Drosophila melanogaster: one gene and its partner. The protein of the gene in region 1 interacts with the protein of each later gene in a pairwise test. Each region holds a gene or a part of one and is shown in the gene's direction. Other genes may lie near its edges.

Evidence for each region.
Region 2: the proteins of Vps45 (region 1) and CG45263 interact in a two-hybrid assay, tested with the Drosophila melanogaster proteins (2 studies listed by BioGRID).

What each region holds. Positions count from the first base shown.
Region 1 is NT_033777.3:9,561,799-9,565,553, forward strand, and holds the start of Vps45 (vacuolar protein sorting 45), read left to right. Parts: upstream 1-2,125; 5' UTR 2,126-2,227; coding exon 2,228-2,320; intron 2,321-2,383; coding exon 2,384-2,582; intron 2,583-2,633; coding exon 2,634-3,755. Other genes in the region: CG9393 (uncharacterized protein), read right to left, coding at 129-203, 377-772, 1,019-1,297, 1,392-1,538, 1,638-1,724.
Region 2 is NT_033777.3:8,475,618-8,479,372, reverse strand, and holds the start of CG45263 (uncharacterized protein), read left to right. Parts: upstream 1-1,755; 5' UTR 1,756-1,954; intron 1,955-3,755.

The sequences.
Region 1 (3,755 bases):
GGCCAAGTAAATCGATCTCCTTCAGTGTTTAGGTAAACCTTTAAAGCTGGACAGTTTTTGTGCTTCATCCCCACATTGTATTTTAAAATATATATACTATACACATAGATATCGTTGCAGAGATGCGATTAGTCTAGGCCCTCCTCCATCTCGTCATCCTCGTAATCTATGCCATCGTAGTCCGTCGAAGAGCGTGTCGTTAGCTGCAAGGATGAATCAATCGGAATTTGCAATTAACTGAGAATTTTGCACGTGCTCAAGCTGAGGCTGTCTACAAGAGTGTCTGGAGCCAACAGAAGACATTGAACCAGAACTATCGAATAAGCTCCATCAAGTCAAGAGTAAAGAACTACAAATTTCAGCCAAAAATACCCACCTGGTTGTAAATCCCACGCCATGCCGCAAACGCTCCCATGGCCAAGACGGCTCCCACGCCGGCTACTATTTTGGTGTTCAGCTCGGAGTCTAGGAACTTGCGCTCCGAGGCCGTCAGACTGGCCTCCGTGCCACTGGGTGTCTTTGTGAGCTTGACGGAACTGTATCCCTCGATGCGGAATATGTCCTTCGTGATGCGGTTGATAAAGTTCACTAGGTTTTGGCAGCCCTTAATGTGATTCTGCAGTGGATTGTTAGGCAGTGCGATCTTAAAGATGATGGCAAGATAGCTGTAGACAATGGCATCAAACTCGCTGTAGGTGTCGCCAAAGAACCACACCTTGCGACCCAATTTCCGGGAGAGCAGGTTCACCACTTTTTTGGCATTGACAACGAGCTGTAAAGTAAAATGATTAATTGATAGTTAAAGAAACGTCTTGCTTTTCACAACATTGATAAGATATATTGATAACAAAAGACCAATACATGAGAAACTGTTTCTTATTAATATAAACTGATGAAACGTTTCCAATCGAAATGCAGCTTGGGTGTAAAACATAGGTTAGATAAACAAATTAAAAAATCCTCGGATTTAAAGATACAATAATGTAATATGAGACAATATGAAATTGAAAGCACTCACGTAGTCGCCTTCGTGCTTGTCCAACTTGTCGTTCACATCGAAACCGGCCATCACCTGAACCACGTCGCAGGCTTCCCTTTGGTAGGACGACGGGTAGTAGAAGTTGAAGGGGAATGGCGTGCGCTTGGCGTAGAGGCCCCGCGTGGTTGTGTCAAAATTGTGAGGCTCTCCAAACAGGAAGTAGTGGTAGTAGGCATGCAGATTGGTGAACACCCAGTTGGCGTAGGCGGTGGACAAATGCTTTTGTTTAGTGCTTAAATGCGCATCTATCGGGTAACCCTGAAAGAATACGTCGAATTAAGCCCATAAAAAAACACATATCTATAAATAGAGCCTGCAGTTTGTTCACCCCGGCATTGTTTTGCTCACTCACCTCGAGATCCAGCACGCGCTTAATTTGCCTATAGCCCGCGAACTTCTGGTTGCCGATCTGCAGATACGGCAGCTTCCCGGCTCCCGAACGCAGCGGATTGGAGCTGGTCTGCACGTCCATGGGGCAGCGGGTGAATCGCAGGAGGCACTGTTTCCGGCAAAGAGGCGCTTTCATCAGTTTCTTTCATCATCTGCGATAATGGGCAAAACAGGCGTGCTGGCCGCCGTGTGATGCAACGGAACTTACCAGAGCACGTAAACATTCAAAATCTATGGACGGCAGTCCGTACTCCCCCTTGTACACATACAGCATGGCTCCCAGTTGCATCTCCATTGTGTCCTAGTCTATGCTTTGCTCGTACTCTTGTATTTAGCCGGTTTTCAACAGTCCACCTGCATATCAGCCATCCGAATTTGAATCCAAAAATATATGCCAGAATTTCTGGCCGACTGCTGCGAGTGCTTCAGACTGATAACTACTGGGCACTCGATATATCGCTCGAGCATATCGGCGCTTTATCGATTGCCGGCCAGGGATGTTGCTACTCGAAGTTTATTTTGGCTAATGAAAAGATACGGAATTATGTTTGAGCTTAATTGCTATTTATGTTTATCTTTATTGCTATTTTTATTATACTACCAAAAAATTGTAAGTTTTTATCTATATGCATTTTTACATATTCACATTATTTTACATTAGCTAGATCTAGCGAATGTTACCCAAATGTTTGGTCACCGCTGTTATCACGGAGCTATCGCAATTGGGGCATCTCCAACCCATCTGTTTGCGAAAAAAAACATTAATTTCTGATTTTCGCAGTAAATTAGTTAGCAGTCATGAATCTGATAAGCGGCATTAAGTTGTACATCGAGAAAATGTGCTCCGAGTCGGGACCGGGCATGAAAATCATTCTGCTGGACAAGGAGACGGTAAGTGCAAGGACTGACAATCAAATCCCCTGCCATATGATCAAAAATTCACATCATTCGCAGACCAGTATAATTTCGATGGCCTTTAGCCAATCGGACATGCTGCAACGGGAGGTGTACCTATTTGAGCGCCTGGACTCGGGAAGATCCAACGAGCGGTTAAAGTATCTAAAATGCATCGTCTTTATACGCCCCACCAAGCAGAACATCCAGCTACTGGCCAACGAGTTGCGGAACCCCAAATACAGCGCCTACTACATTTGTAAGTGGGTCAGTAGAAGCACCTTCGGAATAGTACTAAACTCATAAATAGATTTCAGCAACATCATTCCCCGGACGGACATTAAATACTTGGCAGAGTGCGACGAATCCGAATCGGTGCGAGAAGTGAAGGAACTGTATGCAGACTACCTGTGCGTCAACCCCAATCTGTTCTCATTAGGCATTCCCAATTGCATGGCGAATCTTAATTGGCTGCCGGACGCTCTCAACCGCAGCATGCAGGGCATCACAGCCGTGCTGTTGTCCCTTAAGCTGAACCCAGTGATCCGGTACCGAGCCGGTTCTCAGGCAGCGCAGCTTCTGGCCAAGCTCATATACGAGCAAATCACAAAAGAGTCCTCGCTATTCGACTTTCGCTCCAACATGGATGGCGCTGCGCCACCGCTGCTGCTTGTGCTGGACCGCAGGGACGATCCTGTGACGCCGCTTTTGCATCAGTGGACATACCAGGCCATGGTGCATGAGTTGCTGCACATAAAAAACAATCGATTGGACCTGTCCAATTGCCCCAATGTGCCGAAAGACTTCAAGGAGCTGGTCTTATCCGGTGATCAGGATGACTTCTATGGCAACAACATGTACGCCAACTACGGCGAAATCGGATCTACCATCAAACAACTGATGGAGGAGTTCCAGCGCAAGGCGAACGACCACAAGAAAGTGGAGAGCATAGCAGACATGAAGAACTTTATTGAGTCATATCCGCAGTTTAAAAAAATGTCTGGCACTGTGCAAAAGCATTTGTGTGTGATTGGAGAACTGTCGGCGCTGAGCAACAAGAGGAATCTCTTCGAGGTTTCCGAACTTGAACAGGAGATCGCTTGCAAGGCGGAGCACTCGGCCCAGCTGCAGAGAATCAAAAAACTAATTGCCGACGAACGGGTTTCCATCGATGATGCTCTTAAGTTGGTGGCACTTTATGCATTGCGATACGAGCGACACGCCAACTGCGACACATCTGGACTGCTGCAAATAATCAAAACGCGCGGTGGACGAGCGGCTATAGTGCCATCGTTGATTGAGTATGCTGGAACCCATGTACGACAAGGAGATCTCTTCAATATGGTGCGGATAACGGACGCCGTAAAGCTGACACGGAATTTGATTAAGGGCCTTAAGGGTGTGGAAAATGTCTTCACACAGCACACTCCTC
Region 2 (3,755 bases), 1.1 Mb from region 1:
AGGCGCGAGTTATCCAGCCATTTTTGTTGGCGTGCTGCTGTTGTTTTTTTTTTTGTTTTTTGCCCGCTTCTGTTGTTTCCTACATGCCTTTTCGTATCGCAGCTTTATTTTTATGTGTTTTTCTGTTGTTGCTGTTGTTGTTATTGTTTTCTTCCTTCCACAACATTCTCTTGTTTGTTTTTCCTGTTTCCGGCAGGCGTGCGCTGCTCCCTGCCCCATATGGACCGCCCAAATCCACCCACCAGCCACATCCCATCGCTCGGACTTTCACCCACATTGGACGCAGCGGCGCCAAGATCGCTTCCATTGCACATTTTGGCATTCGACTCGCTTTTCGCCCCTCCTTCCTTTTTGCATCAGTCTCTCTCTTTGTTTCGCTCTTTTCAGTACCCTCACAAAGGATAATTGAGTTTTCTCCATTCATATATGTACATACCTGCCCATGAGGAAAGAATATATGCAGAAGATATATTAAGCTGCAGCGATTGATAGTTGAACATTTATTATAAAAAGTTTAATTATTTATCTGTTCTTAAATAATCATAATTCTCTACTGATGAAAGAGCAAATGCTACCCTTTTCTAGGGCTATAATATTTTGGATAGCGTATTGGGAATGCGGTTATGCCGCTTATTTTCCGACCGTTCCACTCGCTTTCCATCTGTGTGTGCCTGAGTTAGGCGCCTGACTCCTCCATTGTTACCACTGCTGCTGCTGCTGCTGCTGAGTGAATTTTATGTGGCATATGCCGAGGCGCAACATTTTTGTTAATGGCTTGTAAAATTTTTTCGCATACACAAATCCCTTTTTGGCTCTTTCCTTTGCCCACTAACTTTTTGCCGGAAACTCCAAACCGCTGCGTCTCCTTTTGGTCCTCGCTTTGCTTGGCTGGGCGTTGACATGACGCCGCACATAGCAGAGTTATAAGCCACCCTTGCCCATTCTCCCCCTATTCGATTTTCCCATTCCCCGCCCCAGTTGAGAGACCCATAATTGTTTGTTAGTTTTTGCTGGTTTCGTGCAGCTGTTGTGGCATTTGCCAAAAGCATAATTCGATTAGCTTTTATCGCAGCGTGTTCAACTGCAATCATTGCGGAAAAATGCCAATTAGAAAAGTTACAGCTCCCCGCTGAACGCGTCCACCCACAATGACCATCTCCCCTGAACCGATTTTGTCCTACTTTTTGCCGTGTCAGAGCTTCCTAGTGTATCTGTCAAAAATATTTTTATTTCGGCTGAATGTCCAATTTGAATTAAGCAATATATTACGCAGCTTCTGTTGATACGTTTTTTTTTTGAATAGGACTTAGATATATACATTTAATTTTAATAAAATCAGCTTGAGTTTGTAATATGTAAATTTTAAATGATTTTTATATGCAATACTCATTGGTAACATTTCACAATTAACGGCATAATATAACTACAACCATAAATACAGTTAAATAGAAAGAGTATCTGGTAGTTGGAAACAAAAAGCACTTGTTGCCAAGCCCGAAAAGTGCAACATGTTGATGGAGGACAGCAACACGCTCAAACCGCTTAGGCCAAGGAAAAAACGTAAACACAACATGTTTGTTGCACACTCAGTTGGCCAACAGGTTTGAGCGCGCTGGCGTAGGTCGTTCGTATGCGTTCGGCTCACAGTCACGAAGCGCCGCTTAACAGTGCTCAGCTCTGTTAGCGAACGTCGAGGCGTAACATTTCGTGTCTTTGAAATGCATATCATCGAAGTCACCAGTTTCAGTTCCAAGTTTCAGTAGATTTCGGGACATCGTGCGGATCGAACGTCTGGCGCTGCGTTCACGCGACTCGTACGCTGCAAGGAATCAGTTACCAGTGACCAGTAAACAGTGATCGGTGAATGTGAATAGTGACTAGTGAATGAGACAGTGAACGAGTAACAGCCCGAAAATTGTTGCATTTACGAGAAATCGCATGGATATTGAAAAAGGTATAGCCAAAGGATGTATGGTAAACAAAAAAAAAAAAAAAACGCGTGCGTTGTTTTTTAGATACACGTGACAGTGGAATTTGTATCTAGATTGTTTTGTTGGTTTTGCTTTTAGCAAGTGTACCCACCGTGTGCTAAATGCATACGTATGTATGAGTGTGCGTGTGTGTGTTTGTGTGTGGAGGTGCCGGGATATACTTTGACACACTTTCGCATCGTGCCCAACTCCCGGCCATCGGTTATGGCGTGTCCTCGAAAACGGGGAAAAAAGTTACAACTAGCAGTAAACGTGAAAAAGGACCAGCAAGGACGAGAAAATCTCGGCGAGGCGAAAGCGCTGTGTTTTCATTGTCGTCGTCGTTCGCCTTTGGCTCATCAATAAAAATTTCCTTGACATTTTATGAGCCAAAGGATTCTGAGCTCACTTTACTTACTCCATTCGCCATTCAGCCATTCGCCGGGATGGCCAATATATTAAATACGACAACGGATTAAACGCTCGGTTGCCCTTTTTATGTCCGCTTATATTTATGGACAATTATTTAAAAGAAAAAAAAATTGCCATTCGCCGAAAGTTTGCACACATTTATGGTCTGTGAATGCTTTATATAATCGCCATGGTGATCGAATCCCACAAAGAAGTTCTACTTCATCGGCAGGGAATGAGGGGGGAAAATTTAATTAAGCCTCTTCGCGATTGTTTATAAATTCATGTTAATGATATTTGGACAGCCCCCCTTTTTCGGATGCCGAAAAGTATCTGCAATTACGTCGAATCGTTGGGCGCGAATTCCGCCTGCCAAAGTTGTGAGAATTTTCCGCTAATTGTTTTCCGTCGAGAAGGCGATTCGCAATCGTCGCCAGCTGCGCGGCAAAAAGGACTCTCGCTCGGCAGAGTTTTTCCCCCTCGGTTTTGATATGCAAATGGCCTTAAATTCCACACTCACAATTGAAATGAAATTGCCTCAAAGTTTCTGTCTTCACCGAAAATACAGGCGGCACGTGCAGCCGGAGTCGTTTAATTTTAAAAGCCAAACATTTTTATTAATGGTTATTGCCGTGAGTGGCAAGAGTGTGCTCCGCTTGGTGTTATAATCGAAGATTGTTTTGCCATTAGGAAAAGCGTCTTGGAAAACTTAAAGACTTCTCGAAAAATGTGATTCCCGCCAGTGGCTCTTGCAGAGATTGAATCATCGTGACGCCCGGCGCTTCAAAGCGACATTCATTTAAATATTTTGATAAACTTTGACGACATTTCGCGCAATTTCAACGCAATGTGTGCGATCCATCCTTATTCGAGGACCCCCCATCTCCTCCTATTCCGCTGGGATGTGCGAGTTTTTCCTGGCATTTATATCAATTTCTTTATTCCTCACGGCTTTCGACTGCCGCCTGCATTTCGGCAAACGAAAAATCCTCAAACATTTTTTTTTTGGTCGGCAGAAGGAGCGTTTCTAGGAAATTTATGTCGCCTTTTATGGCTACGTGGCTCGTAAATAAGAAAAATGTTGCAGTGCCGCCCGAATATCGGGTGTTTTATCTTTTGCACATGTGGCGGCAAGTTAGAGAGAGTTAGAGAAAGGCTTTCTCCTTATCCACCGGCCGTATTTTAGTTACCCCCTTGAGCTGACATCCAATCAGCATTGTGGCAGGGAAATAGCAGAACGAAAATTATTTCATATTTCGCACGACATTCGACACAAATAACAAATAACTGCCTGAAATGGCACATTTAATATTTGATTTGTTTATTTGATTTCGTTGCTACAATGTCCTTGACATCGGAGTGCCGAGAAGGCTT